Linked DNA regions of Mytilus edulis. The protein of the gene in region 1 interacts with the protein of each later gene in a pairwise test. Links are inferred from orthologs where the notes say so. Each region holds a gene or a part of one and is shown in the gene's direction. Other genes may lie near its edges. The genes, in order: metaxin-1-like and metaxin-2-like.

Region 1 (7,350 bases):
GAAAAATCTTCTGAGTTTAGCTTTTAACACAACATTTTTGTCCATGCAAAACCCTTGTGATTCAAGTTTCATTTTGAAATTAAGCATTTAACACAACATTTTTGTCCATGCAAAACCCTTGTGATTCAAGTTTCATTTTGAAACGAAAGCATGTCTCCCTCAATTCCTTGAGGTATATTCAGAACATGACGTACATGTATACAAAATAAAGAGGACATAAAACTTATAGTTGTCGTCACTTTATCTGAACACTTGGTTTAGACATGGTAGATTATTTTGAAACAAAAGCATGTCTCCCTTAATACCTTCAAGACATGATTATAATAATTCTATGGAAGACATCATACTTATATCTGTAGTCACTGTATCCCTATCTTAGCACTTTGTAGAGACATGGTAGATATAATGTTAACCTCAAGATTTAAAAATCTAAATTAGTCACTCTGTTTTACTGTTGTTTGTCTTTTGATTGTTTTTAGTTTTTTTGCATTCTCAGTTTGCTTTTGAATAATGAGTTGGAATGTGTCGTTCCTCTCTTTTTATTGCCAACATGCCCAGTTCTTTAAAAACAAATATAACAAGCCAAATGTATAATTTATAGCATGAACTCTTGTTAATATTTAATCTGTGTTTTAAGTGACGTATTGTGTTTCATTGTTTCTGTTTTTTCTTTTTTTAAATCTTTGTTTATTTTTACATTTTTATACCTTTACATCAGGAAACATTTCTAAGATTTTTGTGGCCATTAAAGCTGCATTGCCGCCTATGTAAACCTGAAAAAGAATGGGGAAAACAACTTATATTTCACCTTAAAATCTTAAAACCAAATTAATTCTTTAGTTGGCCCAACTTTATTTGATTCTAACCAAAAGCTGTAACTAAAACATAAATGGAAAATAAACATCATACTCATTACACACCAATAAAACATGATTTCAGATTTATATTTAATATAACATGCAAAAGTAGTGATAAAGTAAGCAAATTTTTATAATCTTGTAACAGCTGATTTGGATGACTAATAGTTCTTAAAAGAAAATGAATAGTTTTCTGTAAAGAATCTGTTATCAAGATATAGGTAGTAAAAAGACTAGAAGTAATCTCCTGTACAATTAAACATTTAGATATAAGAAATAAGACAGAAAACAATAGAGAACAAAACTAAGAATGTGAATTTGTTCATTTTGTTGGAAGGGAGATAATTATCTATGTTTTCCTATTTTTCTCTAAGTATTTAATTGTACAAAAGAGACATGTAAGCAAGGGAAACATTTTTTGGCTGGTCCCCTAAATGTTAGCTGAAAATGTCCAAATAGCATATTTTAAACTCTAATTTTGTGGAAGGATGGGCCCCAACATTGAAATATCTTTTTCCTTGATATAATACACTACAATGAAATTATATATGAAAATTGTAATATATAAGAAAAGAGAATATATATGTTTAACTCTCAATATGTTTCTAACTTTCTACCTTATCATTTAATACTGATAATCATAATATTGCATTACAAGTACTACTATATGTTATATTTTATCCCTCTCCAATAATGCATTGTTACTTTTATATTACATATATGTAACCCCATCCTAGAAACAAATTGTCATCATATTATCAAACATTTTCATTAAAAAAATCACTATCCCGTTTATTTACCTGTAAATCATCTAATTTTTCCGCAGCATTTGTAATTTGCCTGAATACATCTTTATTCATAAAGCTCCTTTCTGCTGCAGCACCTTTGGAAAAGAAGTGTGAAAATGTCTGTTGAAGATGGTCTAAGCTATGTAAAGTTTCATGGTTGGTCTTGTCACCTGGCTCCATATTCAAAGATTGTAGTAACTTTGTTCCTGGTACTATGTAGTCAAGATTAGAGTTGCAGCTGAAAATATCAATATTTTATTCAAATTGATCTAAGGAGATGTGGGGGTACATGTATATATTTATAAGACTCAAACCTAACTAATATAAAAAAAATGTGGAGGGCAACAAACAGACACTAAAACTGTTGTCCATACAATTTCACCAGTTATTACTCTTCCTATTTAGTTTCAAAAGAGTACATTATTACAAAAAAATCTGAACTTTGAGTAAATTCATTCTTGAATTTAAATTATATAATAAAATTATTCCATTTCTCTACAAACAGTACTGGATCATAAAATTGAAACACAATATTTAGAATACAATACTGATGTATTCATTATTTTCTTACAAGACAATTATTTAATCCCATTCGAAAAGATTTGTATTCATGCCACTTCAATTTGACCCTTAGCTAGATATAAAATAAATGGGTTGTGTATGACTAGGTATTGAAAAATGTGGATGTTAAAAATTTCATATATTTTTGTACCAATAAACAGGTCATCATATTACAAAGCAATCTCAAACAGTCCTACACTGGTGCAAGCCTTCTAGTTAAAATATAACACATTTGTACATGTACATTTGTAGTACATACATAAATACATTGAAATCTGTCTTAAAGGGTTATTAGCTGTCAAATTTATTTTCACTGATTTGACCTGTTTTGGGGTACAAAATGAAAAATATATAAAAAATTTAACATCCACCTTTCATACATTTACCTTAAACTATTGATAATTTCACATTTATCTGTTACAAGTTCAAATAAAAATAAAGTGCTTTCTACATGTTGTACCTGAAGTTAAAATATTTGGTTGCAGAATTAAAAGGACAACCCAATCCAGCTGAAAAATGACAATTGCAGTCCATTTTTCGATTTTAATATGAACTTCAGAGGTTCATATTGAGTAAAACATGTTTCTTTGAAACATATATTTGTTACACCAATCATTCTTTGTTGAGTGGAAGTGATTTGACTTCATTGTCTTGCCAAAATGTCTGTTTTTACAAATTTCTGACAAAAGTCTAGATTTTACAGATAAGTATTATATCAGGATTTATAGTCTAACAATGTACTTCCTTGTATTACTGAACTAAATGAACCTATGAATGAATTAAGAATAATAGTAAATACCCAAAGCCTTTACCTTTAATAATTAGGAGGTAGTCTTTACCCCCATTTACATTTGGTTGTTAAAACGACTTTTTACAGTTTCCAATTTTGATCTACATGTACAAGAACTAGAAGGGCATTAAAGTTGTCATATTTTCTAAACAATACATTTTGAAACAGTTTATGGGCAATGAATTGTTAAATTGAACTTCCTGCTGTTAACAAAGTTCAGTTTGTGAAGTTCTAAAATAGGTATGGAAGGGTCATAAGGTTATACAGGAATAGTTGTTGCAATCACAACTACAGGAGAGTTTTTGGGCAAAAGGGTTAAATGATTTTTGAGGTATTACTTGCATATTTTTTAAAATTACTCTGGCTAAAATGGGAAAATAAATCTTGAATGTTGGGTATAGAGATATAAATGCTTTGAAATATTTAGCTGTATTAGTATCAAATAACCTTCTGATGTCAGGCAACCTCTTTTTAATTATAATGTAAAATATTTAAAATTATGACAATAGACCTGCTACAAATGCATATGTCAATCAAAATAAAAGGAAACATTGTATAATTGGTTCTTACTGTGATACATGAACATTGAGAAATATAAAATAAAGGACAAATGCACCACTTTGAGAGTCGATGTAAATTTTATGACAAGCTATAGTGAGAGCTCACAGTGTGCTTACATTTTTTATTTTAAAAAATTCACAAAAATTGGCCAGCGTTCATGACTGTCATATCATAGCATACATGCACTAAGAAGTATTTTCTGCTGGTTTAACATATGATTTGTCAGATAATGTAATCTTTGTGTAAACTAATGATTTCCTTACCCAACAACAAGTCTTTGGAATTTTTTCGTTGGTGGCTTTATGATTTTTTGCCAGGCGATGACAATTCTTGTTTCTGTTGGATTGACTACTTCTACCACTGTTGGGAACCATTTTGAATATAAAACAGCAAGAAAAATAACCACTAGAGCTACAGATAAAGTTTTGGGAAACATGATGCCAACTCAACATTCACTAACCGGTGCCCAACAACACCCCGCCGGAAAATAGAACACTAAAAGATAATCCGCTGGGAAATCGTATCTTGCCAATATTTAATACCATTTTTCATGAACTTTAAATCTCATTTTACAAGAAAATGACAAAAGAATTAAGATTTATTATAGTTCTAGAAAAATATGGATTGAGTTTTAATCTGAAAGTAGAAAAATTAACAAAAACTATTCACTTCCGGTAAAATTATTCCGCATAATTGTAAACATGACAGACGACGTGCTTAACCTTGAAGTTTGGAAAGGAAACTGGGATTTGCCATCAGTTGACAATGAATGTCTTACAGTTTGGGTAAGCAATTAGTTAATTTCTCCCCCTTCTATTTAACAACTTTGAAATAAGTCGATACACACCCTTGTAGTATTTGTTTATTGAACACAGTGCAGATTTGCAACTTTCTTGAACACATGTGTTTCACTGCGATACGGTTTCACTGACACTATGAAGCTACACTTCACTTAACATAGAAAATGAATTCGCTCTATATTAGCTGGCAAAGCTTCATGACTTCTTTATGTAAGTTTGTAGAGCAGTGGCAAATGTGCATATAAGGCACCAAATGAGGTTTTTAGTAGGATCGCATTTACAATGCATTGTCAACTGGGAATCCGGGTCTGTTCGCGCCCAATCACTTTCGCACCCAATCACTTTCGCACCCATTCACATTCGCCCCCTTTCACTTTCGCACCCCACATATTCGCACCCAAATTTTTAGAAAAAAACACAATCATACATCAGTCATATACACATATACAACAAAACATGAATATTCAAGTAACTATAACACAAGTTAATCAAAGTTTAAAAGTCTACTGTTGCGGAACATCTTCAGTTGGTTAGTCTAAACGCCCATACAGTCTGGAGATCACCTTAATGAAGTGTGTAGTTGACATTGCTATATCCATGTAAGAATCCCACAAGGTCTGTATCTTCTGTTCTAGTACATGTACTGTGTAGCGGCGGTGAACATTTCGCTCTAAGTCGACGGAACGCACACTGACATCAACAACCTCAGCTTCTTTCATCAAGTCGGAGACATTAACATTAACATTTAATAATTAATCATCAAATTAATAAAAAAAGATTCTATTCAATAATTTCTCAAATTTTATTCAAATAGAATACATTTATCATGTTTATTTGTTATATTCATATAAAAAATATCTAATAATTTAACTAAAATTTTAATACAAATTGGGCGTGAACGTGTAGGGTGCGAACGGACTTGGGTGGGGGGGCGAAAATGTGAGGTGTGAACGTGTAGGGTGCGAAAGTGTATTGGGCGCGAACAGACCTGATACCATCAACTGGTACAGTGGTACAAATGTACTAAGTTGTGGGTTCCATGATGTACGTTCCAGACCAAGTCATAATTTACAGCCCCAAATATCTTAGGCAGATGCAGCCCCTATTAGGAATGATAAACATGCAGGTTGCTGTTCATTATACTTAGTATTCATATAATTGTGAATGAGTTTTGATATATATGTATGTAATAAAAATTACCGGTAAATGAATGAATGAATACTTTATTTGCAAGAAGCATATATACATACTATGGCAAATGTAAATATAAATGAATGTATTCTGAGTTTCATTAATTCATCAGTAAATAATGCCTTTCTGTTTATTTGCAGGCATATTGTAAATTTTCTGGTCTTCCAACTAAAGTACAGAAAAGTCACCAGACAAATTTATTTCAGTCATCACTAGGTTTGTATTAAGTTAACAATTATACATAGTATTTGTACAAAGATGATATGAGTTACGATGTAGTTAATGTGACTTTATTGAAATCTGTATATTTTGGATCACAATCAAAGTACATGACATATTTTTTCTGTCTTTTAAAATTACTATGTGTTTTTTTTTGTGTATTTTATGATCGGGTTTGGAAAGAAGATTTTTTTTTCTTCATTATTTTTCTGATTGCATTCTATCAATTTTATGCAAAATCTTTGTAAGCATTTCAGGCTCCTTAATTGTTTGTTATTGTTTCAGAGGAGATATATATCAAGCAAAGGGCAAACCTAAACATGATCTTGACCTCAATTTCAAGATATGTACCAAAAAATATAAAATAAAAAATTCTATGTCTAAATGACAAATGGTTTATGTTATATGGTCCGAGACCACAATTGTCGTCCCTTGTTTTTCGTTGTTCACGAATATAGTCCCTAGTGTTGACAGTGGGTTACTTGCCATTAATTTTTATACCCCTTCCAAATTTTATTTCTCCATATTTATTGCCTCAAATTGCAAGTATGGGGGTGAAATTACACTGTAAAAACATTTGGGTCCAGAATTTTAAAGGAAAGTAGTGATTTGGTCCAGCTGAAAAAGGTTGAAAATTAGCACTTCGGAAGCTGTCAAAAGATTTCAAGACGCCCTAAACATAAAATTGTCCATATTTTGAGTTAGAGCCGATGAAGTTTTCTATAATTTTGATATAATTTGTCCCAAAAGTAGTACAACACACTGTAAAAGTTTCTTTGAGAAAGCGCAGGTGGGATTTTTTTAATTTTCATTTATGTTCTAAAAGAAATGCACTACGAAATAATTGTGTTCTCGGACCATATCAATAATGAACATACCGTATTTAGCGTAGAAGGGGAGATAACAACTGTAAGAAGTCAAATTTGATCAAATTAATGATTTCAACAATAAAAAAAAGTTGTTTATATATTAAAGTTTTAAAAGGGAGATGCAATAACATGAAAAGCATTGTTCTTGGGGATGTTTAGAAAAAAGGTTCTGTTCTATGGTCATTGTCGAAAATATATAATATAATTTAGTTTACAATTTATGAAAAAATACATTACCTGGAATCAGGAATTATATACAATGTAATCAACAGTCTCATAAAGAAATACACAATATGATAAATGTATCATTTTTTGTACATTTAGATAAATTAACCACACATTTTAAATTTCCAAGTACATTCATATAATTGGAATCAGAAATTTTATGATTTACTTTCTCACAAAGCAATACATGATATATAAATGTTCAGAATTTTTTTATTTAATTGATTGTTTCTTGATCAAAAGAGCATATTGTTATTTAGATAATTGATGTGTTCAGATGACAATATACATGTACAGCTTCATATGTGTATTTTTTTTCCAGCAAAACACAACCTACCAGTACTACAACATGGATCGGCAACAGAATCTCAATTAGGCAATATTTTATCCTACTTAAAAAATCAGGTAAAGGAAAATCTTATAGTGAATGCTATTTACAACAAAGGTACTCATAAAGCATCAACTACTCTCCTACTCAAGATTTAAGGA
Region 2 (6,499 bases), on another chromosome or scaffold:
TAAATTGCATGCATCAAGCATCTTTTATTCGAAATAATTATATACTGAGCCAAAAAAGTTTAGCAGCACTTTTTTTGTATCTTATTTTTTTGTTGTTTTTCGAAAAAAATATTTAAACATCATTGATATAATCCTCAGTTTTACCTGTAATTTAAAACAAACGTACTTTTTTCCTGGTGATTGATTTCACGCCATTTCAGCTTTGCACGTGTAATTGACGTTTTACCCGGTCTCACTAATTAGCGACAACAAGAATTTTAGCGACAACAAGCGTCAACAAGCGACAAGAAGCGACAACAAGAATTATTTTAGCGACAACAAGCGACAAGAAACTATTTAGCGACAAGAAAACATTTTTTTTATATATTATAATTAATTAATGCTTAAATATTAAAAGAATATGCAAAAGAAAATAATTTTAGCGACAAGAAGGTTAAAATTGATAGAAAAAAATGAAACATTATATACATAATATTTTATCATCTATTATGAATAACAGCCAGTATTACGTTTAATTATTGTATTATGAGATTACTTTTCCTTGTGTTTTAGAACATATTATTTATCTTATAATTTGTTTTTTAAAACTCTTTTCGTGCAATATATATTAAGCTCGCAAAATGAATTATTTGTGCATCATTGTCCTGAAAATATTGACACAAATTGTGAAATACAAAGAACTGAAATCAAACAGGAGGAAAAGAAAATTGAAATGTGAATGTTTTCATCTTTTTATTTGTTTATTGCCTCATTAAACGATATTATCATTATTTACAATGATTGTATATTCTGGCGCGTGTAATTGTATAGTCTGACACGTGTACAAAGTTGAAGGTGTTAATTGGATGTTATTGTAGCAATAAAACAGGGGACACGCGACTCGTTAATCTCATTTGATGTTCCACATGTTTGCTTATCAAAATGGGACCACCATGTACAAAATGTATAAATATTATGTTAGATAGGAATGTACATATTACTATATAATGACTAAAAATAATTAAAAAAAAATTTAAAAAAAAAATATATGGACCCCAAGGTAGAACCACGTCCTTGTCGTGGGGTCTGGAAACACGCTTAAATAATAAAAATGGCAAAGCGTGGCTGAGAGTTCTATAAATAAAGCATCGAATTGACATAACAAGAGTACATTTAGAGCATAGTATTAAGCAAATGAATCAAAATATCATATTCCATTATGCCCGCTCCATATATATCTCCATTCGTTTATTCATACTTTGACTTTAATTAAAACAGATACATACATTATCTTATACATATTCTTCATATTTAAAAATAAAAAAAGAAGCTCAATCTCTTTCTTCTTCACAAATGTTAAATTTCTTCATCTACCAATATACTAATATAAACTTCACAATCTCTTTCTTCCTCGCAAATGTTTCATTTCTTTGTCTAGCTATATAATAAAACATTTTAATTAGACATATCTGCTCGTATATTTAAAAAAAAACATTAAATACAAATTTCTTTATATATCTAATAAATAAAAAAAAATGTTTTCTTGTCGCTAAATAGTCTTCTTGTCGCTTGTTGTCGCTAAAATAATTCTTGTTGTCGCTTCTTGTCGCTTGTTGACGCTTGTTGTCACTTCTTGACGCTTGTTGTCGCTAAATAGTGAGACCCGTTTTACCTTCTGTACCTGTACTTTTTAAACGATATTAAAAATTTCTTTTTCACTAACAATCAGAAACATACCATTGATAAGAAAAACACATACACCTTTGAAAAAATTGCATGGGGCGTCAACCAGGCCTCCACGAAAATGACCATCAGAAAGCTCTTGGAATGGTTGATGCCAAAATGAGTGTTGCTGACATCGTGGCTCGATTTAATGTTCATATGGCAACAGTTTAAAACAGATATCAACAAATTACAACTGCACAGGATAGGACGATATCTCGTAGACCAAAAAAAAACTATCATAAAGGGAGGAGCGTTACCTTCGCTTTACGTCAACACGGGACAAGTTTTTTCCTGCTCAAAAGTAGTGCATTGACTAGGGGCAGCTGCTGGTGTGCCTGCCAATCCTTCATTGGTGCACTTAGGGCATGACTGAGAAATTGATTTTGAATAACACTACTCATTTCCGCATTTTGACCCTCCCGCACTCCATACAAAGAAAATCATAATGAATGTGAGTGATAAACATTCATGTTGCTTCTGACATGTCATAATTCCATTTTGTTATTATTAAAATTATATGTTTCATATGATTTTGTAATAAAATAAAATTTCACATTTTTGTTGCTAATCTATTTTGGCTCCGTATATATAAAGAATAAGATGTGGTATGATTGCCAATGAGACAACTCTCCAAAAGAGATAGAATGTTCATAGCCAGAAATCAGTTGTACTTTTTAACATATACAAAGATGCAACAGGAATTTGTGAAATTATGGACAACCATAACTCAAAAACCAACAACAGTAAACATGATTTAAGGGAAAAAAACGTGCATATGATATACCATATGTTTACTCTTAATATGCATGTTTACTATCAACCAGAAACTAGACAATAGCTTCATTCTATAGTCTAGATTCACGTTGATAGTTAACATGCATATTTAGAGTAAAAATATGGTATATCAATATATATATATATGGTACAAATAAGTGATATATATTGTAAAATCTAAGAATTGTTATAATAAGGGAAAAGGGGGGGGGGACTCATAACAGAATTCTGTCCTCAAGCACCTATATGAAAAATGATATAGCAAATGCAGTTGTGGAAAGCCATATTTAGCAATATAAAGCCACTGAGATCCGTCAGAGATTAACTAGGGTGTTCTTGCAGTACTCCTTCAGTGCTCATTTAAATGAGGTATCACAAAAGATGGAAAAGCAGGGCCGTAGCCAGGAATTTTCAAAGGGGGTTATTTGGACTCAAGAACTCGACTTTGACAGTCAAAATTCGAACAGAACGTTGACTTTAACAGTGCTTATTTGTTTTCAAGGGAGGGGTGGGGGGTTAGGACCACCCCCTGGCTACAGGTATGAAAAGAATCTGCAAAGTATCAAAACATTAAAGATAATGAATAATAGAGATGGGCCATTTTGTACATATACCACATGGTTTTCGTGCTAAGCATTTGTATGTACTGTTTCATTGCATTTAATAAAAACAAGATTTGTGTAGGTAATCCACAAACTGTAATCCAAAGATTTTTGTCATAGAATTTAAAACACTGATTACTCACTTGATTTTCTGTGTAATACTAGCTTTTATTATTTACAAAAAGTGTTAAACAACCTTTAAATTAGAAAAACTAGAGTATCTAAAGTCGAGTGCATCCTATTAGAAAAAAGGGGGGCTCCTACAAGGTGTACTTGATTTGGTTCATATTTATATTTGTTTTAACCAATATCTAAATTTATAAACTTGTTTTTAGGGAACTATTGATAGCACTGCATGTAACTATCCTCTATCAAGCACCAAATTTCCAAAATTGAAGGTATGAGGGGAAAGGCTCAGTGTGGATTTTTGTACTTAACATGTTTAACATTGAATCAACACAAGGCCCGATACATAATCCTCAATTGAATAATTCAAACGATTTATTAAAGAATTTAACTGCTGTTTATTTATTATTTAGTTTCGGACTTAGTGTCATTATTTTTATAGCAGATAATTATTTTTATTCTTTAAGTAACTTTTCCAAATACTTGATAAAATAAAACATATCATTCACAAACCGTTTTACACTATTTCGCAAACCTTTACGTATGCTTTCCCCCAATTTTTCGTAATTGAATTTTGTAGAATCTTTTACTGTGCAATCTTATACCATAGATGATATCCATGCTTTTATAAAATGTACCAGAGACATATATAATACCTAAAATTAGCTCTGCAAATCAGGCTTAGCTAACATGGCCAAACCGAAGAATCTGTCTCACTCTGTCTCCACATAGTCACCTTTCTTTGAAGATCAAATACCTATATATTCTTTAATATTAAGATATTTATATGGCAAGCCCGTTTTACTATTCATTCGAATTTCAAGATATCTCCTATAATATATAAGATATCTTATATAATATATAAAATATATCTCCTTTAATATATAAGATATCTTATATAATATATAAGATATATCTCCTTTAATATATAAGATATCTTATAGTTTCTTTTTTATAAGATATCTCATATATTATATATATATATATGAGATATCTTTAACGTTATATAAGATATCTTTAATGTTATATAAGATATCTAATAAAGTTTATATGATATCAAATAAACAATTTTTATATGAGATATCTTATAAAGACAATTATATAAGATATCTGATAAACTATATAAGATATCTTATATAACATTAAAGATATCAAATATAATATATAAGATATATCCTATAATATATAAGATATCTTATATAATTTCATTTTTATGAGATATCTTATATATTATATAAGGTATCTCCTAAAATTGATAAGATATCTTATATAGTTTATAATAAGATATCTTATATAGTTTATAATGAGATATCTTATCAAGACAATTATATAAGAATCTGATAAATTATGAGATATCTTATAAACTATATAAGATATCTTATAAACTATATAAGATATCTTATAAACTATCGAGATATCTGATAAACTATCGAGATATCTTATAAACTCATATAAGATATCTTATAAACTATATGAGATATCTAATAAACTATATAAAAGATATCTTATAATAATATTAAGTTTATGAGATATCTTGAAGTAAGAATAAATAGCAAAACAGCTTGCCATATATTTAGATAATTTTATTTTCATCGAATCGCGTGTCTGTGCACTGTCTGAACGTCCAAGGTAAAAAAGTTATTAGTTCCGATTCCGGATATTTTACACACCAAACCGATTTCAAAATTCTTACACCAGGACAACTTCCTGTGTAAAAAAAAATCTGATTTTTCTACAAGTTACTTACTATCATGGCATCATTAGTTGGAGATGTTATGCATTTAAAAATTGGAGCAACGGAAAAGTGGCCTACGGATGTAGCCTTTTTTCAGCCATATCAGGTCGAACAAGTTACTCTTCCCGACTATTCTAATTGTCTAGCAGTGCGAACATTTCTGAGCATGAGTGGCCTGAAGTTTGATCTTCAACTGAAAACAAATGCAGAGGAAATGTCTCCATCAGGAAGGGTTCCATTCTTAAAGATGGGAGCGTTTCTGGTTGCAGAATTCGACCCAATTGTGGCAAATGTAAATATGAGAGGATTGTCCATAAGTGCTCATTTGGATGAGACCGAACGATCAGAAATGACAGCATACATTACTATGGTCCATACAGTACTTTACAATGCAGAACTGTATTTGTCATGGATAGACAAAGATATATTTGCTTCAACCACAAGACCAAGATATGGATCCGTACACCCATGGCCTTTGAGTTGGATTCTACCATGGAAAAGACAAATGGAGGTGAAATCAAGATTGAATGCATGTGGTTGGATTGATAAGACAAAAGAAAATGTTCTTGATGAAATAAAGGCATGTCTTCAGGCTCTGTCTGATCGCTTAGCTAAGAACACTTATTTCTTTGGTGAAAAGCCCACAGAATTGGATGCTTTAGTGTTTGGACATTTGTATAATCTCATTACTGTTCGGTTGCCCGATTCAAAACTGACAGGATGCATTCAAAACTACAGGAATTTAGTAGATTTATGTACTCGTATTGAGGGGAAATTTTACAGAGACATTCAAGAAAATTAATATCAGTTGATATACATTGTTCTTGTGACAGGTCAATCTTTGTCAAATAAAAATGTATTAGATCTATCTAAATCATAGATTTTTACACTATACAAAATTAAATATAAATGTTGATTGAGTGTTACTTTATCCATAAATAGATTTGTTACACATGTAAATTGTATATTTTTTTTTTCATCAATATCTGACAGTTAAATTATCAAGTTTTTAATGTACTGTTGGAATTGTCTTAACATATGTAATACATTTTACATGAAATTGAGAATGGAAACAGGAAATGTGCCAAACAGACATCAATCTGACCAAAAAGCAAAAACAGCCTAAGTGTCTTCAACATGTAGCAAAATATCCAGCACCTGTACATTAAATTATAACACATATCATTTTCTTTTCTTATGAAACTGTTTCAAAAATTGCTGTTGCTTCAGAAAATAATTTTAAATATTACATTTATTATTCATGCAATGTTTAGAAAAACTTTGATGGCAAGTGTAATAAATGAAATAAGAACTTTATTATCTGATGACACATCAATAATTTTATCATATAACTGGATAATCCAATACTGAAAGAGACAACATCCTATTTATACATTTATTTAAAAATAAACATGCATACATTTAAAAAAAGGTTTAAAAAAGAATAATACTAATATTTCAAAATATGTGTACTCAGCTTTCTCCAACACTGCAACATCATACAAAATTCTTACAAGAAAAGTTATAAAAAGAAAAAGAAAAACATACCAACCTGAAT

What was found.
Region 2: the proteins of metaxin-1-like (region 1) and metaxin-2-like interact in a two-hybrid assay, tested with the Drosophila melanogaster proteins (2 studies listed by BioGRID). The link is inferred for Mytilus edulis from reciprocal best matches to the Drosophila melanogaster genes CG9393 and CG8004.

Annotation. Positions count from the first base shown.
Region 1 is NC_092347.1:61,934,259-61,941,608, forward strand, and holds the start of metaxin-1-like, read left to right. Parts: upstream 1-4,213; 5' UTR 4,214-4,258; coding exon 4,259-4,342; intron 4,343-5,688; coding exon 5,689-5,764; intron 5,765-7,183; coding exon 7,184-7,266; intron 7,267-7,350. Other genes in the region: ADP-dependent glucokinase-like, read right to left, coding at 708-773, 1,658-1,883, 3,821-3,993. UniProt on the Drosophila melanogaster protein: Involved in transport of proteins into the mitochondrion. Essential for embryonic development.
Region 2 is NC_092350.1:23,171,907-23,178,405, forward strand, and holds metaxin-2-like, read left to right. Parts: upstream 1-4,887; 5' UTR 4,888-4,957; coding exon 4,958-5,743; 3' UTR 5,744-5,857; downstream 5,858-6,499.